Linked DNA regions of Lonchura striata. The protein of the gene in region 1 binds, or shares a complex with, the protein of each later gene. Links are inferred from orthologs where the notes say so. Each region holds a gene or a part of one and is shown on either strand. Other genes may lie near its edges.

Region 1 (15,479 bases):
GCTCATGTCACCCAAAGGCACTGTGAGGGGTTCTGTGGGAGTTAGGGAACTGTCTTGCCTTAAATTTAGTCTCAGAAATAAATGATTTCCTTTTGTCAAATTCACCCCCTCCATCTCCTCCTTCCTGGCCCAAAGTTCGTATGAATGAGTGAAAATTTAACAGGTGAGTAAGTACAGAACATAAGAGCTTTTAGTTTCATGCCAGGTTTCTTAAGGGAAGCAACTACAATTCTGTAATAAATATACTGAGAAAAATTAATGAGTCACCACCCATGCAACATGCACATGTGTTATAAATAGCTCAGCATTCTCCCTCACAGCTGCTGTAAAAGAGATTTTTTTTTTTTTTAGATTTTATTTTAACCAGCAAATTATTAGGTATAGCTCCTTGGTATTTTAATTACAGGCTCTATCACAGACTCCTTGTGCTCCAGCATGTCACACAAAATTACTCCAGGATAACTGTTTCATAGAGACAACACAGCTTCTATCCAGCAAAGTCATAATCATGCACAATAGGTTATTTAATAAATTTAGATGCCTTACTTAAATGCACTTAAGTGGGGAAAAAAGGGTCCAATACCAGTCAGGCAAAAGCATCTTCTTGCTATTGGTGCTCCTCCTCCCAGTAACTTCAGAAACGTCAAGCAAAAAAAACCCACATTGTCCTTCTTTATATTAGTAGCCAGTAAGAAGTTAATTAGCTTAAAAGCATCAATATTTGTTACCAGGACATAAAATGCACACTTATAATGAATGTTACAGGCCCAGGATAGATCCTTGTTACAAAATTCAAGGGCCAGCAGAGAGAATCATCTCATTTAAACTGATCACCAACAGTCTAATCCTTTGATAGAGATTATTACTGTTTAGTGGTAAGAGTGAAGTAATTAAAAAAAGAACAAAACCAAAGAAAACATACAAGGTAAATCTGACATTATAAAGAAATAAAAAATTGGCTGATGCCAGGTGAATTCTCTCCTCTGTGGTAATTACCAATGAAAATATTGGTCTGCTGTTTGCATTCTCCTTTTGTCATAATGAAGTTTAGAGGAGACTGTGCAGACCTTGGAGCAATTTTGGAGCCAGCTCTGCCTTGGAAAACATTTTCCAATATCAACAATTTTTCCTTCCAGTTATAATACTGTGCTCCCCAGATCAGAACCTGCCTTTCAAAAAAAATTCAGCTGTATTAATAATACCAATTTCAATATAGTCATTAATATTTTTCTATGTATATATAATTAATATGTAGTCCTGCAAGGAATAGGGACTTGGACTCAATGATCCATGTGGGTTCCTTCCAACTTGAGATATTCTACAATTCTTTGTTTGCATTAAAAAAAATCTTAAAAAAAGTAGTCAAACAATATGAAACTAAATACCAACTTTGAAATTTTATTTCCTAACTGTTAGCAAATTTCAGGAGGAAAAAAAAATCACAGTATATAAACTCAACACTGAAAATTGAAGGAAAGCAAAGGAAAATCCACTTCTAAATTCAAAAAGTTAATTATCCAGTTTGTTACACTTCTAGTTGTAGCAGCAGGTAATCTAAATTTGTCCAGTTGAAATATGCCCAGATGTGATAAAGTTAAGTAGCTTCTATCTGACTGTTTTTTAGAGAAATGTATCACAAAAAGGAGACTTTAGGAGGTGTGAACAGGTCCCCTCCTCATCCCTCCCATGAACTCCATAATAGAGCACCACTCACATAAATAGACTGGAAACTGAACTCCCTCACTGGATGTGTTAAGAGGTAAAACATGACATATTCTGTGTGTCTATAACACATTACTCAAGCTACATCAGCTAAATTCATGGCAAACAAAGCAGATTCTGATCTGTCCTCATGGACAGCTCCCCAGCATAAAAAAACCCAACCCATACAATCCAGAGCAGGTAACTCAAAGCACCAGCTCTGTCACCCCTCTATCAAACCACGTGAAACAGGACTGCAAAACAAAGTGGCACCTAACAGGGAGCCTTTCCCTTTTCACCTCTGCTTAAAACCAACAACGCAGAACTCTGCTCTCAGAAACCACTCCACATCAGTTTGTTTTGTAGCCTGATACCTTAATTACATACTCCAACACTGGTTTTCAAATATTTAGTTTAAATTTTAGGATAAAACAGCTCACAGCATATTGAATGGTGTTCCTTTGACAAGCTTTCCACAAATTTGAGCAGCATAATACGGTGTACTTCAAGAAGAAAACCCTGATTTTCTCCCTGTAAGTTCAGCCTCTCCTCCAGCCCCCAACACAGCATTCAGAAGCATTTCACGGCACCAAAAACATCTCAAACCCGCTTTGCAAATCCTTTTGCCTTCTCTTTGCAGCCACAGAAGCTCCCATCAACTACAGCTCCTGCAAATGCAAAGAAACAACAGCAGAAAAGTAATGAAAATCTTGAATGTAGCTCTCCTAATGGGATGTAACAGCTGGAACAAAGATCTAACCCAGCTGGGAGAGCCATCATTTTCTTCTGCAAGTGAGAGGACACGTGAGCAGGGATGACAGGCTTTTCACAGCGATACCACGGTGTCTCAGCTACGTCAGAGTAAATCCATTCAGTTTGGAACACAAAGATTATGTCCCTCAGCTGACAGCCCTGCTAACTCAAACCCCACTGGTCTGACTCCGAGATAACGCCCTGACAATGAAGATGCTACAATTGGAATTTAATTAATTCTACTTATGCAAAACCATGGCAGAATTAAGCTCATTCATCCAGAGCTGGGTTTGTACAGTAACTTATTTCAGGAGCAAAAGGAAACAATTCTGAAATTGCAGGGAGATGTCAGCTCAGTATTAAGATGTCCTTTTACAAACCTTTTTAAAGAAAGAAATACAGGGATTGTTTTAAGAGACGTTGTACAAAAAATAGTGCATCACAGGCACAAACAGAGCACATTCCCCTTCTCCTCAAAGAAAAAAATTACAAAAAAACACCAAACAAGAAGACTGTGATACTTGTGGTGCTTCCTTCCCCATTCATAGAGTGGAAAAATGCCTTTCCCCACTTTCAGTAAGCAAACACAAAGCAAGAAAGGTATAGCTGAGCTCTACAAACTCCAATCCTCAGCACCAAAAAATTGCATCATCTTTATGTCTTTTCCTCCCAGTCTTAGAAACACTGCACCACAAGCATCTTCCAGAGAATTTGTAACAACCCTATGAAAGGACAGCTCTGGCCAAACCTAGGTGAGCATCTTTTTCACCCCATAACTCCACTCCTAAACCCTCTCTGTTGTCTCCTTTAATCGCTTTAAAGATAATTTCTGTGTGGACAGGGATACAAACTTCAGAGCTGCACTTGTGCTGCTGGGATATAGGGGTTAATATTGCACAGTCCCATTTCTAGACTAACTTGCTCTCAAACTTGGGGAAAGTTGTACAAGTAAACCTATTCAACCTGAGAAATCCAGTCTGCAGCACACAGTTGTTCCTAAGCTTAGTTACACTGGCACTGTCAGACTTGATCTCAATTATTCCTGAAATGATGAAGCAGAGCCAGGACCAGATACACTCAGCTGATCACTTTGCTTCATGGGGGATCCCTGCAGCAGTGAGAACTTCCCTTCTTCAGAGAAGGAGCACAACCTCCAGCAGCAGCACTTCCAGGCTGTGGCTGCTCCTCTCCTAACCAAGCCACTCACAGTGCCCCTCCCAGCTCTGCACACTCTCCAGATTCACCCCTGCAGAGGAATCCAACACACCCAGACCTCACAGTTCCTTGGATCTTAATGCTGCATCCAATCCAGCACCAGCTGACAGCAACATGCCTCTGATGCTCCTCTCACCTGCGACTGACACCTCATTAGCACAGTTCCCACAGAACAGAAGTACTGGCAAATATTCCCAGAGGTGCATTTCAGGGCTCCCACTCCCGTTACCTCTCCAGCAACCTCCTGCAGGTCCCAGCAAATTCTCTGAACTGGTGGTGGCTACAGTAGCCCTCAAATCCACCCCCAGTGAGTCACCTTCTCCCTACCCTGGACTTCAGGCAATCAATTATCCATCCCAGCTCCAACCCCTGCCAGACCCAACTGCTCTGACCTCTGCCCCAGGGGCCCTCCAGGATTTCCCCATCACTCATGGAGCAGCAGCTGCCTACAATGCCACAGCTCTCCAGCATGCCAGAGGAAAGGGGAACATGTCCCTCCTGGCACAGGAGGCACAAGCAGCCCTGTTTTCCCAGGCATACAGCCTACACCCACCTCTCCGGAGTACACCTGCTCCCCAAAGTCCCTCTGCTATGGAGATCCCCCTTCATCTCCTTCCTAATTCTCACAGATGCAGCAGGAGCACTGGCAACCCCATCTCTGCATACGAATCTCTGCCACATGACACCCTCCCTGTCCCACATGGAGGGCAGCAAAGGCCTCCACACACAGACCCATGACCCTCTCACCACACCCACAGCCTGAGCCTTGCTCCTCATTCCCCACATTTCCTGTGTTTAGAGCTGGCAGTGACCCTGACAGCCTCCCTCTCCCTGCAGATTGCCACCTCCCCACCCCTTCCTGACCCACCCAAACCCAGCACACCCCTACCACCCTCTCAGCCCCACTGGCAGCATGACTGACCAAGCAAGCAACTGGACATCCCACCCTCCAACCCCCCATGTTCTGCAGGTACAGCAGGACATCCAACCCCTCAGTAGCTCCACTGCAGGCTCTGCAGGGACACAACACTGCATCCTCTACCATACACCCAGACCCAACAGTGCTGCTCCCTTCCCAATCCCATTCCACACTCCTGTGTGTGATCCAGCCAGCAGTCCTTGGCACTGATTCCCAGGCTTCTCCTCTTTCTCTTCTCCCACTTCCTGTAAACTCAGCCCTTCCATGCTCCCAGCCCAACACAACCTCACCTCAAATCCAGTGAGGCCTTGGGCATCACTTCCACTGCCCTCCACCATCACTTCCAGCTCCCTCTGTACCACCTCCATGGCAGAGCTGGCTAACTCCAGTCCCCCACACATCCAGCCAAATCTCTTCCTCTGCCTCCACACAAGGACACCCATACCTCATGCCATGTGCACTAAATTATCCCCAGCCCAAATCCACCCTTTCTGCACTCCACAATTCCCATGTGCAGCCATGCCACACTCCCACATCCTGTGCACTACAGCTCCACTTCCCCCAAAACACATTAGGGCATCCTTGCCTTCCCACATTCCCCATACACATTCCCCAGTCCCACAGTACCACTGCTTCCCCCCTGTACACAAACATTCCCAGAGCACCCCAGCAACAGGACTTCCAGGCACACCACTCCCTCCCCATGCAGGAGGGAGTCCAAGCCTTCCACCCTCCATCCTCAGCACTTCCCCTTGGGCCAGAATAGGAAACCCCACACACATCTCCACCTGCAGTGGGCCCCTACAGCCCCCTCAGGCACAAAAGATGACCCAAAGATGAGCCACGACAACACAGCACCAAATCCTCCCATGTATACATCCCACCAGGAAAAGAGGCTGGCTGCCTCTTCTCCTTCCAGTTCAATCTCTTCCCAGATTCAGAACATCCCAGCAATAGAGCCAAAACTCCCCTCTCCCCCTTCCCAGCACCCTGCACGCTGTAGCCAGAGAGAGTGGGACAGCACCCCCGTGTTCCCACATTCCAGACCCACTGCCACAGAGCCTCCTTTCCTCCAACCCCAGCCCCACAGTCCCAACTCCTCACCCATACCCAAACCCACTGCCCCACAGTCCTCCGTGGCACCAGGACCCCCTTGCTTCAGCACTGACCCTATGCCTTCCCTCCCCATCCTCCCAGTCCTGTGCACTGCCCCATGGCCCAGCTCCCCTTCCCCAGAGCCCCCAGCCCATGGGCTGATCTTCCATAAACCCACTCACTGACCCAAAGACCCCAGCACTGCCCAAATCCCACCTCCCCGCACTCTTCTGCCCTGCCCAAATGACCACACCTCCATGACCCTCCTCTGCCAAGCATCCCCAGCTCCTGGCACTCTTCAACAAGCAGCAGCTTCCAGCAGCCCTCCCCACACCTCCACAATGCTACCCCACAGCCTTTCCCCACAACCAGGGCCCCCAGTGCTGCCCAAACCCACCTCCTGTGCCCTCCTGCCCAGTCCCCAGACCCCAATGCTGCCCAAACCCACCTCCTGTGCCCTTCTGCCCTGTACCCCAGACCCCTGCCCAATCTCACCTCCCTGTACCCTTCTGTCCTATCCCCCAGACCCTTGGCTTGCCCAAACCCACCTCCTGTGCCCTTCTGTCTGTCTTATCCCCCAGACCCCTGCCCAAACTCACCACCCTGTGCCCTCCTGCCCTGTCCCCCAGACCCCAGCAGTACCAAAATCCCACCTCTCCGTGCCTTCCTGCCCTGACCCCAGACCCCAGCAGTGCCCCACACCACCTCCCTGTGCCCTCCTGCCCTGCCCAAGCCCCAGCAGTGCCCCACAGCACCTCCCTGTATCCTCCTGCCCTGTCCCCCAGACCCCAATGCTGCCCAAACCCACCTCCTGTGCCCTCCTGCCCTGCCCAAGCCCCGGCATTGCCCACACCACCTCCCTGTGCCCTCCTGCCCTGCCCAAGCCCCGCACCCCGTGCTCCTGCCCTGGCCCGCCAGTGTCCAGCGCTGTTTCCTTGGCAGGATGGCCGAGCCCGGCAGGGCTCACGGAGCTCACTCAGCCCGGACCCTGCTCAAGCAGGGCCACCCACTGAGGCCTCCGAGGACCGCGTCCAGCCGCATCCCCCCGGCCCAGCCCCAGCCCACACTCACAGAGCTCGCAGTAGCGGTGGCAGCCCCGGCCCAGCCCCTGCAGGTACCGCTGCAGCACGTCGGTGAGCAGGTCGCAGGCCGAGACCTGCACGGAGTCCCAGCCGAGGGCCTGGCAGATCTGCGCCACCGACACCCGCAGCAGCCAGCGGGAGTAGGTCTCGCACATCCCGCCGGGGCCGGGGGCCGCGGGAGCTCTCACGCACCGCCCGCCGCCGCCGCCGCCATCTTGGCGCCGCCCCGCCCCCGCCAGGCAGCGCCGCTCCAGTGCCGAGCGCATCGAGCGGGGCGGAGCGCGGGAACGCCGCCCGCAGCAACCGAGGCCGCGGCCCGCAGCGCGCGGGACACGCCGGGGTCGGACACGGAACACGGGCCACTGTCGGTACCGCAGCGGGACACGGAACACGGGTCACTGTCGGTACCGCAGCGGGACACGGTAAATGTGCCGCTGTCGGTACCGCAGCGGGACACGGTACATGTGTCACTGTCGGTACCGCAGCGGGACACGGTACACGTGTCACTGTCGGTACCGCAGCGGGACACGGTACACGGGCCACTGTCGGTACCGCAGCGGGACACGGTAAATGTGCCGCTGTCGGTACCGCAGCGGGACACGGTACATGTGTCACTGTCGGTACCGCAGCGGGACACGGAACACGGGTCACTGTCAGTACCGCAGCGGGACACAGTACATGTATCAGTGTCAGTATCGCAGCGGGACACGGTACGTGTGCCACAGTCGGTACCGCAGCGGGACACGGTAAATCTGCCACTGTCGGTACCTCAGCGGGACACGGTACATGTGTCAGCGTCGGTACCGCAGCGGGACACGGTACACGGGCCACTCTCGGTATCGCAGCGCCGCTGAATGTCCCCCACTGCCCCAAGGGATCGTACAGGAAGGATGCGACAAGGCTGTTTACAATGGCTTCGAACTGAGAAGGAGTTTTTGATGGGATATGGGGAAGAAATTCTGCACTGTGGGGGTGATGAAGCACTGGCACAGCGTAGCCAGAGAAGCTGGGGATGTCTCATTCGTGGTGGTATTGAAAGTCTGGTGGGATAGTGAAGTGTCCCTGCCCATCACAGCGGGTGCAACAAGGTGATCTTTAAGGTCCCCTCCAACCCGAACCATCCTGTGATTCTATGGTCTCTATAAATAATCTCAATATCTCTAAATAAATATCTCAGAGAGCTGTCAAAAGGATGGTGTCAGACTTTTCTAAGTGATGAGCAGTGACAGGATAAGGAGCAATGACCATAAGAAAACCAAATCACAAGGAGTTTCACCTCCTCAGGAGGAAGAACTTCATTACGCAGAGGGTGGCAGAGCACTGGAACAGGCTGCCCAGGAAGGTTATTTTTCTCCCTGGAACAGGCTGCCCAGGGAGGTTATTTTTCTCCTTTTTTTTTCTTTCCAGCTGGATGGAACACCAAATTGGCAGCAATAAGGAAAAAACTGTTTCTCGATGACTTGTTTAATTGGGGAAAAAAAAACAAGTAGGGAAAAGGATGGAACTCCGGTGGCAAAAAGGATCCAGAAACAAAATTTACAGTAACTGAGTGGTGTAGGAGGTGCAAGAAGGAGCAGCGCAGCTCTTACTCAGTGGTACCTGTGGAGATACACAAGAGCTAAACTGTAACTCAGTAGTTGTGTGTAACTAATCAAGAGCATGGAGGACAGAACTGTAAATAACAGAACTCTATTATACTATATTATTACTCCAGTATGAAACCCTAATTAGTTCATAAATTAGCACTTTAGTTTATGAGTAGTCTGTTGTGTCAGTCACACATCTCACATCTGCTGCCTGAAGAGCAGGACCTGGACCCCGAACAAAGTCCTGAAGCTCCTGGTTTGGTTAACAGCTCAAGGTCCTGAGGGTGGTGCCCTCAGAGCTCCATACTGGGACCAGTATGAGCTTCTCTGGGCAACGAGTGCCAGGACCTCACCCCCTTCACAGTAGAGAATTTCTTCCCAACATCCAATCTATCCCTGCCCTCCATCAGTTTAAAGCCATTGCCCCTCATCCTGCTGCTCCATGTCCTTATCCAAAGTCGCTTTCCAGCTCCCCTGGAGCCCCTTCAGATGCTGAAAGGTCTCCCTGGGACCTTCTCCAGGCTGAAAACTCTCAGGGTTTGAGAACAAACTCTCCTCAGGAGAGGTGCCCCAGTCCTCCAACATTTACATTTCTATACACACACTGACCATGCAATAAACTGTGCATTCTAAATAACCTCTGTAGTGACTCAACCAATCACATCACTTAATTTTAAAAATTCAACATCTGCTAACAGTAGCAATACAAAATTCAAATAAGAGATATCAGTGTTCTAGCTGTGTGATGCAGAGGTTATTCCAGTCTCCTCCTTGAGCCCACAATACAATGTACCTCTCAAAGTAGATCATTTTCAAAGACAGGGTGAAGTTAGAAAATCTCTTCCACTCTTCAAAAGAAACATCCACTTACATGTTTCACATGGCATATAAACTAAAAGTATAGAGCACAGACTTCTAAGAAACAAAGTTTCAAAGCACACCCAAGCCCAACCCAGATATTTAGACTCCAAGAGCATTTGCTCCACAGACAAGCAAAAGGATCTGTTTCACGGAGGTCGTTTATTGTACGAATTTACAAATTTCTGGGGCTTTTCCACTTCTTCACAAGATAACAGAGCAGTCTTGTTAACACAGACACAGGCAGGCTAAACCACATATGCTCAGAAGAGCTCCTCTTCACCTGTAAATAAAATTGAAACAAATCAAAATCCTTTCATCTATTTATTTATTTTAAACTGCTATTTTCCCCAATTTGAATACTTCATTAATATTCCTCACCACCCCCCAACGATTCATCACATCTATTTTTTTCTTACATTTTAAATTTTGAAATTTTCCTTACATTTTAGATTTTGAATATGTTCATGTTAATACAGAAACCTCTTTATGTATGTCTGACATACAGACACCTTTAAGTAATTGCATAAAGTCAGACCACTATACAAATATTCAAACAGCAATTGCAAATGAATCCAACAATAGAGAAAAAAAAACCACAGAAAATTATAACTCATCTGGGATTATGCTACCATGGACATATTTTCCTTAAAATTACTGAAAAATAAGAACTCTTTGGACAAATTCAAACTAAAAATGTCCAATTTCACAGCTCTTTAGGAAGGAAAGCTTCTGTCTGACCAAGACCATTTAATTCTGTCTTCCTCATCTAACTTTGTATTTTCTGTGTTAATTAATTTTAAAACACAATCCAACTTCTATGACATAACTTTACCTCTTGGATTTGGCTGAACCGCTTTTTCCGATTAATCCCTGGTTATGGTATTATGAGAAAAAACAAAACAAGCAGGTTAGGAAGCAACTCATGCAAATTCAGGCAAAACTGCACGGATTTATGACCACAAATGTATTGTGAGGAGCACAATACAGCACCAAAATAATATAAAGTACATATTCCAGGCATTCTGTAAATACACAGGATATGAACACATGTATTTCCGTACAGAGCACAAATTTTTAACTGTTACAGTAGTACATGTGAGCTACATGCAGTTACAAATTGTGGTCTAACCCCACACATTTGTAACCTGCAGCACACACCTGCACAAAGCCTCATCCTCAGGCAAACAAGCAAAATACTAAATTTCAAGTAAAATACATATTCCATATAAAAGATTCCGGAAATTCCCTCTTTGTAAACCCAGACCCAAACTCTCAGCTTCTGAACACCTGATTTATCCAAAAGCATTTCAGTCACATCATTTGCTCTCCCCCACTCAACACTACTGGGTTATTTGACCAGGCAAAGCAGGAAATGTCCAGGTAAAAAGGAAGAGGGGGGAAATCCACCAAAGGCCAGAAGGAAAATCCTCACCTCTCCAGGCAAGGATGCCTGGTGAGGCTGAAGATCTATTTTACCAGCTTTTAAACTGCATTTGATCAGAAAAAACTGCCAACTTCGCTCTGGTTAGTAGAACTGCGCAAGCTGAAAAGCTTGGGAGCCATGCCAGGGACTGCCTTCCCTCTGGTTTTAGGACCTACAATCCCAAAGTTTGCCTGTTACCCTGGCACACAAGAGCACATGACTGCAACAGCTCTGACTGCACGTTCATACAGATACTCACAGAGCAGCAGCACCAGAGATGATCTCAATGAGCTCCTTGGTGATGACGGCCTGGCGGGTGCGGTTGAACGTCAAGGTCAGCTTGTCAATCATCTCGGCTGGAATAAGGCCAGATTGGAGTTTAAACACAAAATGAGTGTATAAATGCAGATACAGAGAAGCTCTATGGGCACAATATCCAAGTTATTTGCAGTGGTTTACAAGACACAAGAGGTTTAGTGCACCTGACATTTTTTCCCTGCAGGTAATATTACCAAGAAACCATCTATAAACCAGCTTGAGAACTAAGCTTGTCAGTCAAACATCTGCAGAACAGCTGGCAGACTTGTAAATACCAGGCCTGACATTGCTTATTGTAACATAACACAAGCAGGCATCATTAGCTTTGGAATTAGATTTCACTGTCAATTAACTGCATTGTTATTTCCTTCAAGTTGTGGCAAAAGGAGAGATTTTTCTCCATTATTTTTTTCTCAATTATTTCAGGTATCACCTCTTTCTCTCAAGTTGGTCATCAGAGCCATGCCCACTATTGCAGGCAGCCCAATTGCACATCACATCAGTTTCAATCACCAGTATCCTTCCAAGGAATACTCATATATTCTCTACTTGCTCCATGACAGGTGGTATTGAACTACTGTTTAAGTTCCCCCACCTTTAAATTGCACTGCACTAATTATATTTCCTGAATGAGTAAGTAAAGATTTATAAGAATTCAGGAAATTCTCAGAGCAGCCACATGAGAGGAGCATAGAGAATATTTAGCCATTGTAAGATTAGTTTAGTATTTCATATGCCTTTTAAATAATCTGTTATTTCACTTCCAGTCCTAGGCTTGTTTCTCAACAGCAATCCCTCTTTCCAGAGTCTACATACAGCTCACATTTGAAACAGAATCTCAATTGTACTGGCTAAAAAAAGCCACTCAAAGTGGAATTAAGACAGGAAATAGCTGATTTTTGAAGGAAAGGATTACAGAAAGGGAGGTCAACACTTTGTTGCTGAACAACTGAAGTCCTGGAGAAGCCAGGGAGCAGCTTACAAGCATTCTTGCTAGCGTTGTCCATGGCAGTCATCCTGGCGCTCTGCTCGCTGGTGGTGGATTCTTTCAGGGAGTAGTACAGAATGTTTGCTAGCGTGAACTCCTGGTAGTTTCTCAGCACGTCAGCATCAAGATCATCATAGATACTTAGGCTTTCTGCAAACCATGGAGGAGCAAACTTAGACACATCCAAGATTTGCTACTTCCAGCAAAATACAATGACACAGAGAAGATTACTTGTCTGGACTGTTTCAGTACTTAAGGCAGTACAGAGAGACTCCCTGAACATATTATGTGTACCTTCAGAATCTCTATGCTACTTATAATTCTGTTAACTGTTTTATGTGTTTTAGTTCAATTTAATATTAGGAAAGTCAGACCAAAGCAAAATACATTATTACCATATTATGTTTAACTTTCCCTTACAATGCTGCAGAAACATTCTCGGAGAGCACCTTTCTGAGCCAGCCTTGGACTGATCTTGGCCAAGACAAAACTATCTGTTAAACTATGATACAAGCACCATAATAAGATGTTTTAAAATACCATAGTCCCATTTTCAGAGTACTTTTCTTGTGATTTATCACTGCATGTAACTGGTGGTTTCTAGCTCCCTACTTACCAGAGCCAGCCACCGTTTCAAAGGAGAAGATTGGTTTCTCATCAGTCTTGTAAGAGATGACAGACCTGTACAAAAAGAGCAAAACAGGTTCTTCAGTTCAACTGAACTGACTCTAAACAGAATGGTTCAAATCAAATTAGAATAGACAACTTCTGGCTTTGCAATGCCACAAGGTTTTGTGATAACACTGATGAAAAGATCTTGGATACCACATGGATATAATGATGTGCTGACTGTAAATGTTACAGTGTTCACTACACACAAGTCAAAAAGGGAGTTCTAACCACAGCTACTAGAAAAAACAGCCCAGTTCTTGACACACAACAAAATCAAGAAGTGAATATGCCATATATTCCCTTTCATATTCCCTTTCAGTTTTCATACAACTTCATCAGGCCAATATACTCTTGGAAGCATTCTGCCAAGTATTTTTCCAGTGAAGTTTAGTTCAACCTTACCTGAACCGATTGTAGATGACAGAGCCTTCATCAAATTCATACCCAGAGTTTAACAGCTCTAAAGCAATGGCTGAAGCATCTCCAAAGCTTGGAGGTCTCCGTCCCACCTCTTTGAATGTCAGCAGGAAATAGTTGCCATGTGTCCTGCAGCAACACAAAACTGTGCTAGAACCAAGTGGATGCTCTAAAACACGAGCAGCAAGACTTACTAGAAATAACTGTTTGTAATTTAGGAGTGTTCAGAATGAAACATTTTACTGAATTAGAGTCTGAAAGAAACTTTGCCTTTAGTTAAACTACAATAGCTTCACAATACACACATGTGTAACAGCATCAGTTGCCAGCTTTTATTTCAAGAATATAATAGTGCTGTGCAGCAGTCTCTCAAATTGTGACATTATCAAAACCACTTTTAAAGTATTTGCAGTTTTTTTTTTACAGGAACTTGAATTTAACACAGTTCCCTTAAATGCAATTTCCTGCCAATGGCACACAATCCTACAGTCTTGAAATTTCTACCAGAGACAACAAAACTCTAAACTAAACTTTTGGACCCCATCCTTTTTACCTTTGAAGCAGGCCTCTGATCTTGTCACCTACTCCAACCACCATAACCTCCTTCCCTGCATTTGAGAGGTTGGTAATTTCATTCTTCAAGGTTTTAGCAATAGATGTATGGATAGCACCACACAGGCCTCGGTCAGAGGACACACCAATAAGGAGGTGCTTCTTCTTGTCCTCAGGTGGCTTTATTTCTGCTTTCTCATACAGAGCTGAAAAAAAAAAAAAGATCATAACATTTTTCAAGGGTGCCAAAAAAGCTAGTAAGTAATAAAAAATGCTCTGAAATATTCTAACTAAAACCAATACCAAAGGGGCTCCAGATCTCAGCCAGATTAATTTTATCTCCTTTGCAATTGTTCCAAGTTTGCACACGGTCAGACCAGAAGTGAGGAATAAACAATTCAGAGCCAGTCACAGCTCTGATCAGATGTCACTCAGTGAAGTTCACTGTGCAAATTCTTTTGGAAACAGACTACTGGAAGGTTAAAAAGCCTTGGCATTTTATCACCACTATGAAAACCTCCTCTTCTAATCCCCCATCACTAAGTGCAAGATCTTTCTCTCACACAGAGCTCCTGTTCCATAGACCCTCGCAGGCTTCAGCTCCCTCTCAGCTCTTGCGTATTTGGCTGCAGAAACCATCTTCATGGACTTGGTGATCTTCTGGATGTTCTTGATGGACTTCAAACGCCTGGTGACTGCAAGGTTAAGAGTTGAAGGTCATGGGCTGTACTGGGCACTGTGACTCAAGCCCAAACAACAAAATGCCAGCAAGAGCCATAAAAAAATATTTTGCCATGTTCCTCAAAGAAGAAGAAATAAATAAACAAACATCACAGAAATAAACCTCATGAAAGACCTTGGTACTTGCAGTAAGACTAAGAATGTAGCTAACACAGATTCATCTTTACAATAGAGATGTTATCTCCTTCAGATATAACATTCATTTAGTATTTATCCCAACATGAAGTCTATTTACTATTCTCTTTGCTTCCACCTCTACCTGTTTCACAAATATATTATTTGAGGTATAATGTCATCTTTCACAGATGACAAGCAGAGGAAACAAACAAACAAAAAAGTCCCCATAGTGTGAAGACAGAATAAATTTCCTCCTCTGTTTAGACTGTGGTAAAATGACATTTATAAAAACACTAATGCAAAAAATAACCAAAACAGGTATCCCATTGACAAGCACAATTCCAAGGCAATATCCCTATATAAGAACTATGAGGGATGGCTTAAGGAAGCATTATCACACTGAAACCATTCAGTCAATCCTTTTTCCCCCCAAATGCTGCACAAAAGCACAAGGAAATAAACATAAGATAAACTAAGTTAACTCTTATAGGTGAGCAGAAATCTGGTTTAGCACATACAGTAAAAATATTTTTAAAATCTATTTGAGTAAAACTATAAAAAGACATTTAAATTACTGCCAAAGCCACTTCAAGCAACTCCTTTTCTGAAGGACACTTGTTTAATGTGATTAGCACTGCAGGCCTATATATCATTGTTATACATCACAATCATACCCAACAGAGGCTAAACAGTATGCTTTAACATATGGTTTTCAACATATGGCTTTCCTGCAACATTTTGCCTCTCTCAAGAGCAGTTAAACCCTTTACTTACTGTCTTTTAGCGTTGCCATATTCCTGACTTGGCCCCTGAAAAGGAATGCAGGAGAAATTAGGATAATTCACTAGCTCTCCAGCAAACCAACACCTGCCAAGGGCAAGTCCCTTTCAGGGTGATGTTGCTGTTTCTTACAAAACGTGTGGCAGAGAGAAGCCACTCTTACCTGTGGCTTGCATGCACACCTTCATCCTTCCCTACCTTATATAATTTCACAGAATCAATTAGGTTGGAAAAGACCTCTGAGACCATCAAGTCCAAC
Region 2 (14,964 bases), on another chromosome or scaffold:
TAATTTACAGGACTGAGATAGAATACAGGGTTTTTTTCCCTAGGTTTACCCTATTAACCTCTAACTGTTAAGCACTTCCACTGATCATAAATTTGAGAAACAGCTTATGGATTTCAGTATAAGTTTGTCTTACTACAAAATATTCAAAGCTGTCTCTGAGAAACATGTATCTTATTGTATGCTCTTTTCTTAAGGGATCAAAGTTCTCTCCCTATAGCTTTGTAACTGAGCTCAATACAAAGAAAGTAGGATATAGCCTCTGTTATCTTCTAACGGTCCTTCCTGGCCTTGAATCTATTCATTGTAACAATTAAACCATCCAGACTTCCAGGCCTTTAAACAGAGAGCTGTTTAAAGAAAAAAAGGGGTCTCTGTCTCAAAGGAAAGGCAGTGTTCCGCAGGATGTCCAGGCTGGCCTGGGTGTAAGGTTGAACATCAGAATATTTTCATATATTTACTTTTATAAAGATAATGATGACATTTACTTTCATTTGGTGGTGTTAAAATTGCAGTGCTTTGAAGCTGAAATGTTTCAAGGACATACATTTATTTCTGTGGTTTTAAAGCCCTATGAATTGTAGTCCTGAAGGAGAACAATGTAAAAAGCTTTATGTGTATTTTTTGATAGGAAAACAGCACTCTGATACATATCAATTAACTAGTAAAATTCAGGGGTCTTCTTACTATAGAGTGAACACCAGTGCCAACAGTTTTGTGGTTGCTTTAGGTCTATTTTATTCAAAATAGAATTGACCTCTACATAGTTCTCCTTGAAGAAATGTTTTTTTTGGGGTTTTTTTGGGGTTTTTTTTCTCCGAAAAATTTTCTTCACTTATCAGAAGAGCGCTTGGAAAACTGCATTTTCTGGGAGGTGGATAGTGCTATAGGACAGGGCTGCTTTGTCCTACTACCTGGCCAAACAGGGCATCATCAGCACACTGAGCCCTCAGCAGCTCCACAGTGTGGCTGGCCTTGGCCTGAGAACAGACGTAAGACACGGAGCTGAAAACATGATACAAAACTGGGAGGAGCTGTTGACTCGCTCAAAGGCAGACGCCCTGCAGAGAGACCACGATAAATTAAAGGACTGGGCAATCACCAACCCTATCAAGTTCAATAAGGGAAAGGGCCAGATTCTGTATCTGGATGGGGCAATCGTAGATGTATGGACAGACTGGGGAATGAGATGCTGGAAAGCAACACCATGGAAAGGGATGTGGGGGTCCTGGTTGATGGAAAGTTGAAGCTGAGCCAGCAGTGCCCTGGAGCCAGGAGGGCCAACCCTGTCCTGGGGCATCAGGCCCAGCATCACAGCCGGGCAGGGGAGGGGATTGTCCCCTCTGCTCTGAGCTGGGGCCTCACCTGGAGTATTGTGTATAGTTCTGGTCACAAGATAAAAAGGGTATAAAGCTGTTAGAGAGCGTCCAAAGTGGAGCAATGAGGATGGAGAAGGGCCTCAGAAGGGCTGAGGTCACTTGGGCTGTTCAGCCTGGAGGAGACTGAGGACAGACATCACTGTAGTTCATCCTTGTGAGGGTGAAAGGAGCGGCAGACACTGAACTCTTCTCTGTGGTGACCAATGACAGGACCCGAGGGAATGGCCTGAAGCTGGGTCAGGGGAGGTTTAGGTTGGATATCAGGAAAAGGTTCTTCCCCAGAGGATGATTGGACACTGGAACAGGCTCCCCAGGGAAGTGGTCACAGCACCAAGCCTGACAGAGCTCAGGAAGTGTTTGGACAACGCTCTCAGGCACATGGTGCGATTTGGGAATGGTGCTGTGCAGGGCCAGAAGTTGGACTTGATGATTCTTATGTGTCCCTTCCAACTCAGCACATTCTGTGATTCTACAAGCAGCCGGGCCTGGGCAGCACCTCCGGCTCCCGGGAGCCGATGCGGACGGCGAACGCACGCCCTGTACGGGGCCCTGACAGCCCTCGGCGGGGCGGGGGCAGCTGCGGCACCGACCCACAGTCGCGCTCCGCCCCGCCCGCCGTCCCGCCCGCCGCCTTCCGGGGCGGGCTGGGTCCCGCCTGCAGCCGCTGGGATGCTGCTGGCCCGGGCTGGGGGTGCTGCGGGCTGGGCCACGCCGCCGCTGGCCGCCCTTTCCCAGGTGCTGCGGCTGGAGCGGAGCCGCCGCACCGCGATCGTGTTCCCGTTGCAGAAGCTGGAGCGGTACCTGGCGCCCGGCACCGACACGGCGCCGTTCCGCCTCTTCCAGCCCGGGCTGGCCGCCCTGCAGCGCTCCGAGGCGCTCTTCAGGTCCGACCGCGGGCACCCCATCGATTACGTGAGCTCCGCCGTGCGCATGGACCATGCCCCGCCGCCGGCCCTGCCTGAGGTCAGGCGAGCACTGCTCCGCGCCTCTGGCCGGGACCTTGCCGGGGCAGCGCCTTCCTCCCTCCCGGGCCACCCCGACCTGGGCTGAGCTGCGCTGCGGGGATAAAGGGGTGATGGAGTGGTTGTGCGGCTGTCAGAGCGCTGCGCAGTATGTGGGGCACTTACTGCTGTTTTTTTAACAAGTCGTTTAGTTGTCGTTGTTCCCCGTTGTGCAACTCGGCAGCCTGACATGTCCGTGGCTGGGAAGTGACCAGGACTGGCTGCAGCGAGAGGTGTAGATGTGCCCTCTCTGCCTCTCCCCCTGCAGGTGTGCTTCATCGGCCGAAGCAACGTGGGGAAATCATCTTTAATCCGGGCCTTGTTTTCACTGGCTCCAGAAGTGGAAGTTAGAGTGTCAAAAACTCCGGTGAGTGACTTTTTTAACTTCCCTCCCCCTGGGTCTTAGGCTGGTACCAGTCCAGAGGATAGGGCTGAGAAGGGTGGGAGAGAAGAAGCTCTTGAGTAGCCAGAAAAGAAGGAAAGTGCCAGCTCTGGTGGCCATCCTCATGGCTGGCACTGGCCTTGCTCTAGCCCAGGAAGAGGCAGAAGGAGCCCAGCCTGGCTCTTCAGGCAGACAACAGAGCTGCACAACTTGAGCAGTGTGCTGTAGAGACCTTTGAGAAGAACCAAGCTCAGCGACCCATTAAGGTATTTTTAGTCCATTTTATTATTAGAGCCACGTAGGATTGCTGCACAGGTAGGAGACCGGGCAGTTTAAAGCATTCTCAGGGGGAAGGGATCTGGTATAAAGATACTTTGCAGAGCACCTCCTAGTGTATTGCTTAAAGCAGCTTTTTTAGAAACCACCTCTGTGCTTTCATCTTGCCTAAATCCTCTCTTCAGGGCCACACCAAGAAGATTAATTTCTTCAAAGTAGGGAAGTACTTTACTCTGGTGGATATGCCAGGATATGGCTATCGCTCCCCGCAGGACTTTGTTGAGATGGTGGAGGCCTATCTGCAGGAACGGCACAAGTAAGGGACCTACCTGTACATCAGCACAGGGCAAGCCAGACAGACACCCCTATACCCCTATACAGTGTCATGTAATGAGGGGAGAAAATGCAGAGGGGTAGCTGCTTCCATCCACTAGTTCTGACATCATTTCCCTGGAATCTTCTGCAGTGTCATTCATTTATGCTCAGACAGATCAAAACAGCAGGAAAGATTGAGATGCTGTTCCATGCTGACCCTCAGTTTCCATGCATGACTTTTCTTGGCTCTTCCTATCCCCAAATCCCACGTTACTTATTTTTGCTTATGAATGTGGAAGTAGCAGAGCAGGCATGAAATAATGGTGACAATTACTATTGCTTGTATTTCTGGCAGCTTGAAGAGAACTTTCCTATTAGTTGATGGTGTAGTTGGACTTCAGAAAACAGATCACATTGCAGTAGAGATGCTGGAAGAGTTTGGGATTCCTTATGTGGTAGGTAATGCTTCATTCTTGGGTTGGTTATAAGGTACAGGTAATCTAGAAAGGTGTGTACCCTCCACCTGAGCTTAGGCAACTTGTCCTACCTAAGCAGTAACCCTATATTGTTAATAAAATAGGTTTATAATGTGTTGAGGGAGACAAATAGGACCTAAGAGGGGGTTTTATATGGTTTATTAAATATATTTTTTTTCAGTGCTCAGCTTGAGCAGCTGGAAAAGGTGCACTCCTTATGCAAGCCGTAGTTTTGGTGAACTGTGTTAGACTATTTTTTCCCCTAGATATGACCTTTCAGAGCTTTCAGACTGCTTTGTAAGACCGTTTAGGACTCTTAGAGATGTTCCAGATTAACAGCAAAATCATCTTACTTTCTTCTTTGAATCCTCTTTTTCTGGATCCATGCAGGTGGTGTTAACAAAAATTGATCGAGCTTCCAGGGGATTATTGTTAAAGAACGTACTAGAGATCCAGGAGTTCGTAAAGAAGAGCACTCAGGGATGCTTTCCTCAGCTGTTCCTGGTCAGGTAAAGCTCCTCTCCACTGCTGCTGTTGCCTTTCTGGTAATGAGTTCAGTAGGGCAAGATACCTAAAACAAGTCTGTCTGCTCTAGAAGCAGCACCTCTCTGTGCCCCAAGGATAGAAGGTGGGCTGCTGATGGGGAAATGTCCTTTTTCTTCTTTCCCCCTTCTCTGCAAGTGAGTGAAGTTTGTTTCCAGGTGCTTCTTCATTTGACCATTCTCAAAGCAGAGCAGCAGTTCCTGTGCAGCATGGTAGCAGGCCTTCCCATTTTATTTGGAGTTCTGGTAACAGTAAGAGCTGTAATTGTTGGATTACATAGCCAAAGTGCAGGCTTTTCCCAGGGTGTACTGTGGGACATGTAACTGAGCACAGCCAGTGGCTATTTGCCTTTATTACTCCAAGACACGTCAGTATGTGGCACTGAACATCTATGACTCTTTTTCTACAGCTCTGTGGAGTTTTCGGGGGTTCACTTGCTCAGGTGTTTTGTAGCCCATGTTACTGGAAACCTGCCTATTGTAGAGGCCAGCTGAAAAGACCTGCTGATCTGCTTGGCTCATCAGGAACAAGAGGTACCAAAAACAGGTCTCGGTTTTTGTTGCAAATAACCCAAGTTACTATTATGGTATTTTTGAATAAATTAGTATTTATATAGCTAATTTTTTTCTTTATTAAGTTCATCAGTTCAGGAAGTTTGCAGTATGAATTAATCCAAGTTACTATAAAACTGTTTCATAAAGCCTACGTGATTGTGCCAAGGAGAAAAAAAGTAGGTAACCTCCATAGAGAATGGAAGTTTTAATACACCATTTCCTCTCCCTACACTGAAATGTTAAAAAATCTACTACTCCATGCCTTACCTCTGCTATATTTAAGATACTAGATACAGTCTAGTAATATTAATAAAGAGGCATTTAATCTAGGAAAGAAAAACTACAGCCCTAACATTAAGCAAGCCTAGTTGAACTGAATGATACACAGAGGCTTACTTACTTCTCTCAGCTGGGATTAGGATTAGGATAGCAGGGACCAAAAACTACCTCCTCTGCAGCCTACCTGCTCTGAGGCCATGCATTGTGGAAATAGCCAACCTGTTGTCTGTGAAAGTCTGTTTAACGTCTTGTATATTGTACTTTTGTAAGTCCTCTGTGTCCATTAGGTGCAGCAGGATGGCATGCCTTGCTTGCAGACATTGAATTGTCCCTGTTCCACAAGGATGAAGGAAAGAACACATCTTCTATGGGATCTGCTTTTCCATGAGTGTTGACTTGAAACAGAGTGGAATAAAAGACTGACATCTAGAGGAACCCTGTCCTGCACACTTGTCATGAGTCAGTGCTGCATTTACCTTCTGTTTTGAGATCCAGCATGAATTTCTGCAGCACCACTTGGATGAATTGCCAGATCTGAGGCACAACATCCATGATCTGTAGTGGCTCTACTCTGGCAGCTGAAGCACAGCACTGTATGCTTTAGGGGAACTCTGTTCCACAGCAGCTAAGAGCACCTGAAGCTGTCCAGTTAAAAGGCAGAACTGGACAAAACGACAGCCATAAATAGCAGCAGTCATACAGGAGAACTTAATCTGAAGCTATGAAGTGCCTGTGTCAAACCCTGGCACTCAATCTTTGTCAGGTCAAATGTGGTTATGCAGTTGTCAGTTATTTGCATTAAGTGTTTAAACCTCAAAAAGGAAAGTTCTTTTCTAAACCACTCTGATAGTGCAAAAGGACTAGAAATACCAGTTTCATTATGCAATTTCTTGTAACACACTAGTTATGAGACAAGATCTGTTTTCAGCATACATGTAAGAGGAGAATATGAGGAATACAGTAAATATGGCTCGCTAGCTTCTGCGATTAAACCTGTAATTCTGTTAATATTTTATCTCTAATCCCAAAATGCTGCAGGGCAAACCAGCCCAAGGGATGCATGATCCTAGAAATGCAGTAGTAGCTATATAGATGGAACAGGTGAAAGTGAACACTTCAGGAAAGGCCTTTTTGTAAATCCTTTAAACCAGGATCTTCCAAAAACATCGGCCTTGTCAAGGCTGTAATTTTCAGGGCCTCAGCCTTGACTGAAGGGCTTCTGAAAAGAACCCTGAATATGTAAAAAAGTGCAGTTCTGGTTTTAGTCCCTCTTCAGAACAAAACCCCTTACATTTCATTACAGTGCTAGGAAGTCTTTTACTAACCACTTAAATACATTAAATACGTCCAGTTAATCCATTTTTATAAACAAGCTGGATGTGTGTGCATGGAACATTAGGTACCATCTTCTCCAGAAGAACCAACTTTACCTCTGGACACATCATGGTTTTATTCGGAAGCGCTTCAGATACTGGAATAACTCCTGCATTTTGCTCTTAGCTATTTGCAGGAGAGAACACTAACAGTTTGATTCTTGAGTGTGACAGTGCCCCTGTGGCAAAACAATAAATAAAATCAAGTCCTCCCCCTAAACAGTAAAATTTATTTCAGTGCATTTGTGGGAACAGGGATTGGGTACACAGGTGCCTTGACACACTACTGGAGGTTTTTTTGCCAGGTTCTTAAGGTACCGGCTGAGTTGCAGAGTGAGGAGCTGCACTTTCTCAGGCCAGAGACACAAAAGATCTTCCTTTCTTTCCCCCTCATTAATGAATGGTGGGGTGGGCTTGGCAGCATGCTGATACAGTAGAGCTCATTTCAGTTTTAAATTCAAATGTCTTTAGTTGTTTGCAGTGCATAAGCTTCACTCAAAGCTCCTGTCATTACCTGGTAAAGCTTTGCCTCTTCTACAGCTGTTACTTACAGAAATCATGTTGAGTATTAGCTTCCATGGAAAAGGATTTCATCTTGTGCGTCTTCCCTGGTCCTTCAGCAGTACTTTGTCCATTTTCTTCCTCTACCATGTCTTGGGTCTGGTCTGGTTTTGTCTGTTGCCATAACTGACACTACAAAGGCAGTATTTTTGCAATAGTGTCCAAGATGAGAACATTGCAATCTGGACAGGTGCACTAGTAGATCAGTAAAAACTGGTTGAATAATCGAGCACAGAGCATAGGAGCCGGTGGCTCATACTCCAGTCGCATGGCAGTTAAAAGTGGAACACGGCAAGGATCCATTCTGGAAGGTGTCCATTTTAGCATTTTTATGAGTAATCTGGAGTAGGTGCATTGCTGGATTCACCTACTTGCAAGATTAAAGCTAATGTGCCTAGGGCACCAGAGTGAGGGGAACAGTGGGCATGCTCAAGGGCAGGGCTGGAGCAAAGGGGCTGACAGCAACTGTATGAAATACAACAGGACTGGAGCAGCTCCCCTACAAAGACAAGCGCCTTTGGGCACTGTCCAGAAGGTGGAAACCTCACGGCAACCTTCCAGTATGTGAAGGGAGCCTAAAGAGAAGCTAGACGGGGCCCATCAGGAACTGTGATAGGACAAGGGGACAAACCGGAAGAGGAGGCTTATCTTGGACAACTTGGTCTCGTGGGAGGTGTCCGTGTCCACGGCAGAGGGGTTGGGATTAGATGATTTTTAAGGGCCATTATTCCAAATCTTTTACATTCCATGATTCTGTGAACATGGGCAAGTGTGCCTCGCTGAAGGGAAGGAGAAGCCCCTGCCAACCGAACAAACCGACTGTGCAAAGCCACCCTTTCTGACCTGGTGGCTGACCCTCTGTGGAGCAGGGGGGTTAGCAGACACTCCCGAGCTCTCTTTCGAGCCCCGCTATCCCGATCTAGCCACCCGCCACTGAGTGTCGTGGCCAGGTTGGGGCAGCCGCGCCCGCGGCCGCGCGGGGCCGACGCCCGCCCGGGCAGGCCCGGCGGCGCCTCCCGGCGGGGCCGCGGGGCGGGGCCGCGCTGCCGCAGCGGTTCCGGGCCGCCGGGCGGCCATGGCGGATGAGGAGGAGGACGTGCCGGTGAGTGCGGAGGGCTGCCCTCCCGGGATCCGCGGCCAGCCGCGGGAGGAGAGGCGGCGGGAAGGGCCGGGGCCGGACGGGCGCTGACCGCGGCCTCCCCTGCGCTGTGCCCCTGTAGTTCGAAGAGGACGCGGAGGACGCCGGCGGGGGCCTGGACGGTGGGCAGGGCAGGAGGAAGCGGCTGTTCTCCAAAGAGCGTAAGTCGGGCCGGGCCATTCAGCTGAAACCCCGAGCTGACAGCTATGGGGTCCCAAAACTCATTTCTTAGCAAAACAGCGGCTTTCATAATATGCCTTGGCTGCAATTGCAGAAATCTGCCATGTAGACCCTCCCCCTCAAAAATACTGCTAGTGCATCCTCTAGACATAGCTGTGCCCAAAGTTAGCTGCACTGTTACTGTGCAGTGCTTTGCAGCCTAAATGAGAATTCAGAGAGCCTGTCCTCAGACATTATTTTCTGTATGTACAGCTCCTGTACCTACAGGAGGGCTTTTGTTGTCTTATGTTTATTTCCTGTATGTTTCCTCAAGATTTGTCCTGCCTGACAGATGAGAGTGCCGTCCTGGTGCAGGAATGTGCAGGCTGGTGAGCTCTAACTAGATGTGTGCAGCACTGAATGGATGAAAGCCTCACACTGAGTGTTTCTTTGTGCAGTAAGGTGCATGATGTATGGATTTGGGGATGACCAGAACCCTTACACAGAATCAGTGGACATTCTTGAGGACCTGGTAATAGAGTTTATCACTGAAATGGTAAGTCAACTCTAGATGGCACAGTCAAAACATCCTCACCAAACTTTGCCTTTTTTGAAGGTTAATACCTCCGACTCAAATATTGCATTATTCCAGGCCCCAAACTCATGGCATTAATAGGAGAAACTTAAACTTGGATTTTGTTTTCCCAAGATTAAAGTAAAATTTATGCATCTTGCTCCATGTGGATTTAGAACACTGAAGGCTTTAAGCAGCATTTAGATTAATATTGTAGGAGGGGAGGTACCCATCTGACTTTGGTGTTCACTGTATGTGCAGCTGACAGAAGACAAGGCTCAGATTTGAAAGTCAGGTTTTGTTTGCCCAGTGCCTGTACATGGATAGGAACTTAGCTCTGCCCTCCAAAATGAATGCATTCTTGGGCCTGAGCCCATTTCTCTTCCAGACCTAAATGCTGTTTCTAAGTATCCAAACATATCCCTTTGTTTTGAAAGGTTGGTCTTTCCTATCTTATCAAAATGTTCTGCACTGGCCTCTTATACAGTTACTTCATACTGCTTCTAAGTTGTGCCTAATTTTCAGCCATTCTGCAGGCTGAATGTCCTATGTGTAATCTGTCCTTAGTTTTGATACCATTACCTGATACATTTGTAGTGGTTATGTTTGGGGTGTAACTGACAGGCAGCTCGGGACATTAGACTAAGTCCATGGTTTACTGGGAAGTTCTCTTGTGACTAGGATGATGGTGCCCAGAATCAGCAATTGCTTACTCTTTTATTATAAAATGTCAAGGAATAAAGTGGAATTGAGACCTTAAAAAAGCACCATGGCAAAGGAATACTGTTGCCTTTTTTTTTCTCCTCTGACAGACACACAAGGCCATGTCCATCGGGCGCCAGGGTCGGGTACAGGTTGAGGACATCGTCTTTCTAATACGCAAGGACCCCCGGAAGTTTGCCAGAGTTAAGGACCTCCTAACTATGAATGAAGAACTGAAACGAGCCAGAAAGGCTTTTGATGAAGCAAACTATGGGTCTTGATTCTGTGCACAAGCTGTACTGGGGCATTATTTGGGCACCTGCTGCCAAGTAAGAATTGAAGATTGCGCGTGTTGTTTGGAAGGGTTTTTTAGGATGGAGGTCACTGTTGGGATGTCTACCCTCACTCCCAGCCTTTTCTGAGAAGTATTCAAGCAGCTGAAATGTTACGTGACTGTATGTGGTATATTTAGGTATTTTTATACCATTTGATGAAATGAGAAAAAGCTCTAAAAGTTCCTGCAGTGGCAGGAGTCTGTTTCAGGTAGGCCTGTGTTTTATCAGATGGCTCAAGGGTTGATAGTTCATGATTTTCTAAAATTGTTTAAGTTGTCACTGGGTATTCCTGTGATAGGAAACCCTGAAAATGGATCTTGGTTATCTGTATAAAGACCTTAAACTCAAACTACTATCAAAGTTGTGCTCTTTGCTCTGTACATGCTTTTTGAATAAAACATATGTTTGTGCCCATGTTTTGTAACTAAATATACATTGATCAGTTCATACCATGTGGGTAATACAGGCCACAGCTGTGCTTTTCCCTACTTCTGGAACAGCTTGGGGAGGTAGGTTCAGTTAACTCCTGATTTCAGAGCAAGCGTAACAAATGCTGTAACAGCAATAATACTGCATATCAAGGCTGTCCCCTCTACAAGCAGCACAGAAGGAAGGGTGTAAGGTTTGGAAATGTGTTGGCAAGTCTTTTGTCCGAAGCAGCAGTGAGTGATCAGCTCTGCAGCCTTTCTTCCATGGATGGGAATTATCTGCACTGTGGATTTGACAGCAGCATTTGACACGTGGTTAGGCAATAGAGAGGGGACATTGAGTAAAGGTAACAAAGTCAGTGTTCCTGGACAAGGGTAGGTAAAAGGATGGTGACTATTCCTTTATTTGGAACACCCTTAAAAATATAAAAATCAGCCACTAAAAAAAACCTGGTTTACAAAAACATAATAAAATGGTTGTTACTTTCTTAACAGAATTCACAATGTGAGTTACTGAGACACCATTAGTGTTCAGAGGAGTTTACTTCAAAAAACAAAATGAAACAAAACACTAGAATTACTTGACCCCTTTCCTCCTTCAAGTCCAGGTTCAGACACCTATTGCTGCAAAAATAGAATCAATATCTGTGTTCTCAGCAGCTTCTTTCCACACCGAGCCAGGGCTTCCTTCCAGCAGCAGCCCCTTGGGGGTCCCCATTGTGCTTAGTCTGGCATGTCCTGTATCAGTGCTGGAATGTTCTTCCTGACTTGGAGACCCATCTTGGTAAGCTGGGAGGATGAGTGATGCACTGTTCTCACACACTCCAAAAGGCTCCAGAGACTTTTGCCCACCAGTCTTTGGAGCTGTCTTCAAGAGTGCAGATGATTTGATCCTCCTTCGGCACAGCCGTGCCCTGAGGCGCTGCCTTGGCCACTGCCTGTGTTGTGATCCATACAGGAGGTATTTACAGACAGATGTTTTGATACAGCGCAGCTTTTTCTTCAAGCTTAAGGGAGCAAAGTGTACAAAACAGAACTTTATCAGCTACTGAAGTGTTACTACATTCAGAATTTGGAGAGATTTCATAGTTACTCATTTCTATCATTTTCCTTATCATACCAGAGAAACAGAACAGCACCTTGTACAATAGTAGCCAAGGTAGTTTTAACAGAGACAATCCTTGCCTCGTACATTTGTTACCATAAAACATGCAGATCATTTAAGCTGCATTTTCATCCTCCCTCCTAAGTACCATACATTTGTCAGCCTTTTAAATCTTTTTTAAATCACAAGTGAATTAAACTAAACAGAATGCCCATGGTGAGAGCACCCAGTAACCGGAAATAGTGACCCTGAGTTTTAAAAGAATGGCTTAGACCACTGTGTTTCACTATACTATAGCAAAATACATAATATTAAAATACAAAGTATTAGACTCAGAAATCCCACACCCATACAAAAATACCTGCATCCTTGAGCCTCCACATGGTGTAGCCGGTTGCTTTTCAACAACTTGTTACGCAGAAAATAAGCTTCTGATTTGAATTTGTTGTTTTTGCACCACAGAATAGCTTTTCTGAGTGCCTCTGACAGTTCCCCAAATGATGCAGCTGTTTTGACCATCTGTACAAGAGATCCAGCATGCTGTGATTTTGCTATCTGAGATGAAAGTGGTGATGACTTTGCTTTAAAAGGTGTTGATGTAATGCTTAGACCCTGAAAGAAACAGTAACAGAAGGAGTGTTTTAAAAAGATCATGTGTCTGATCCTTTTTTCTGGAATTTTTGTGAGAACATTCCTTATTTTCTAGTTAGAAAAGGGAAGTGCAATCTTGTTTCATGGAATACAAAAAGAAAAGGCAGATATTTAGAATTTGTATTCCTGTCTACTACTGACTTGGTCTCTGGTCATTTCACTTGACAAACAAACAAATGGCCAAATTCCTAAGCAGAAGTAAGTAGTGATTGATTTCTGTGCAAAGTGTCCACACTAGCCTGAGTTGTTAGACAAGCAAAAATAAGGCAGGAAAAGGGGACATTTTCAATCAGGGATATCATGTTTTAAGTGTTAGTCTTTAAAATACAAAAAAACCTACTGTGTAAAAAAAAAAAAACCAAACCACCAACCTAACATGTAAAACAATACCATACAAACCTCTTGTGTTGGATGTCTGGATGGCCTAAGCAAGCTCTTCACATCAAACGCTGGGTGCTTCCCTACAGAGAGAGAAGAGATTTCCCATTACAACACTGAGATAGTTTTATTTCTTTGCACAGAGATGCCACAGAGCTCTCAGCAGGCTCCCACCTGTACTCAACATTTCCAAGCAAACTCAAGGGGACTACACTCGTGCATTGCAGCTGGCAAGGAACGAAGAGCATGCGGAGGTTTACAGATGGCTGCAAAGGAGAACTTAATGGATAAAAGGTTCACACAAGCATGTAGATGGCTGCAGTCACTGGCCATAGCCCTGCATGCAAAAGAAGATTTGGGCACAGTTCAGAACCAGCAAGTGCAGGATACTTGCATCCTGTACCTTACAGCCTTACCTACTCTTGTATGGACAGCAGACAGCTTCTGAGGTATGCAAAAGCAGGAAAGCACAAATAACTATTTTCAGGACCTATATACTGCATTCATTACCTGCTTCTCTCCAGGCTGCATCCTGTTTGAAACAACCCCCAAAAATCATGATACTAACATTATCCACAGCTTTATAAAGGCAAGGGCACATGCAGCATTCTCTTCTTCCAAAGACAGGGAGTTTGTACTAGAACCACACTGTGGGTAGAAGTGCTTGGTCCTGTTGGACAGAAGTTGCAGACAGTCTCTGAGATGTCAGAAACAATTACACTGGCACAAGGCTTTACCTCTCCTGGCTGTGGGCACCACAACTGTCTCTCCAACGTCCATGGGGCACAGGATGCTACGGTCTTCCATGGCACTTGTACAGGTCTCAGATTTTCTCTTTTTCCCAATCTTTGATACTGCCTCTGGCATTGCTGGGAAGAACTTCTTCATCCAGCTGGTAGATTTTTTTGTTGTAAGCATTTTAGCCTTTTGCTTCTTTGCCTCAGAAGATATGTTAACCCCAAGGAAGTCACTGATATCAGAAGGGAAGGTAAACCCCTTGATATAAGGGGTCTGTTGGGTCTCAGATACCAGATGAAGCATTGTTGACAAGGCACTGTACAGGGACACGAGGGTCTGCAATACACACCTGTACTGAATCCTGTAGACAGAGGACAAAAAGGAATGGAGTCTCCTCCAGCAAAACATGATGCTCACTGAACAACTACCTTCAACTCAACTGTTGTTTTCCCTGTTTCCACTCAGTACAAATTTACCTTTTTACACTCCATCACCCTGCTTTCCTTAAGTCTGAACTTCAAGGAACTGTTCCACACCAGAATACAGGAGTGACTTGTAAATTCCTGATCAAGAAGCCCCTCCGTTTCTGTAGAGTTTTGCTGAGTGTCACACTTGGGACCCATCAGGTTCTTGGGTCACATCCAAGGTGCCATGAGGTCTTCACACCCAGCACCAACGCAGCCCTGACACCATACAACTGTCTGCTCTTTGTTTCCTGGAGTTAGAAGATTTCTTGTGCCACAGAAAGTTGCAAGTTGTTCTAACAATGTTGTTACTCCTTCAGCTACAGACAGCAGTTATTCTCCCAGATGGAGAGAGACCAAAACATCAATTTCCCTAGAAAACTCAGTGGTATAATAGAACATGTTTAACCCAGCCTTTCCATTTCCCCATGAGGCAGGACTTACTCCTTACTGCACAGAGTACCTGGTGTTTGTGGCAGGTTGACACTAACACTGTGATTTCATTAAAGCTACATACAGTTTGCTAAGATCTAAGAACAAAGCCATCCATAACAGCATGTAAGAAGTCTCTCTCCACCTGTACAGCTTTGCAGGTGCTAAAATCGAGTCCAGAGGAATGGAGTGACCTCTCTTCTCCTACTCCCAACTGAATAAAACTCCCTTAGCAGCCAGGCCTAATTACAAGCCCTTCTCCCTGACAGGCACATCAAACAGACACAATTAAGACAGACTTTTGAACACACAAACCAGAGCCGGCTCAGGAGCCCCAAAGCCACAGTATTCAGGAGTATGAATTCCCTCGAGCAGAGATGTTTAATGGACAAGCTGAAGATCACAGCAGTTAAGGTGAAAAAAATAAACAGCATGTAATGAGACTTGCTGAACACACCAACGAGAGGTAACTCACAAGGAATAATCTGGGAGATGAGTATCCAAATTTTGGATTGCTGAAGGTCAGAATAGCTGCTAGCCAAACAGCTTGAGGTCCCTACATAATAATTTGAAAAGAAGGTCTTTGGCTGTCAAAGGAACTTAAAGTTCCACATATGAATTGCACAGTTGAGTCCATCAGCAATACAGGGCCTATATGAGGTGCTACTGGTGAACTCTAAGATCATGTTTTTGTGGTGAAGAAAGGATACAGAAAAGCTTTACA

The links.
Region 2: TAF3 (region 1) and TAF13 share a complex: the UniProt entries of both Homo sapiens proteins name them as parts of the TFIID basal transcription factor complex. The link is inferred for Lonchura striata from reciprocal best matches to the Homo sapiens genes TAF3 and TAF13.

What each region holds. Positions count from the first base shown.
Region 1 is NC_134607.1:68,963,026-68,978,504, forward strand, and holds the start of TAF3 (transcription initiation factor TFIID subunit 3), read right to left. Parts: upstream 6,988-15,479; 5' UTR 6,921-6,987; coding exon 6,755-6,920; intron 1-6,754. Other genes in the region: ATP5F1C (ATP synthase F(1) complex subunit gamma, mitochondrial), read right to left, coding at 10,076-10,082, 10,895-10,991, 11,936-12,091, 12,558-12,622, 13,016-13,159, 13,584-13,788, 14,146-14,277, 15,215-15,249. UniProt on the Homo sapiens protein: The TFIID basal transcription factor complex plays a major role in the initiation of RNA polymerase II (Pol II)-dependent transcription.
Region 2 is NC_134604.1:23,952,142-23,967,105, forward strand, and holds TAF13 (transcription initiation factor TFIID subunit 13), read left to right. Parts: upstream 1-8,170; 5' UTR 8,171-8,211; coding exon 8,212-8,238; intron 8,239-8,356; coding exon 8,357-8,435; intron 8,436-8,891; coding exon 8,892-8,989; intron 8,990-9,819; coding exon 9,820-9,990; 3' UTR 9,991-10,458; downstream 10,459-14,964. Other genes in the region: GTPBP8 (GTP-binding protein 8), read left to right, coding at 2,046-2,339, 2,646-2,744, 2,909-3,025, 3,221-3,351, 3,706-3,805, 4,217-4,335, 4,779-4,863; RMP64 (nucleolus and neural progenitor protein), read right to left, coding at 11,083-11,479, 11,939-12,189, 12,628-12,689, 13,344-13,705, 14,556-14,633, 14,951-14,964. UniProt on the Homo sapiens protein: The TFIID basal transcription factor complex plays a major role in the initiation of RNA polymerase II (Pol II)-dependent transcription.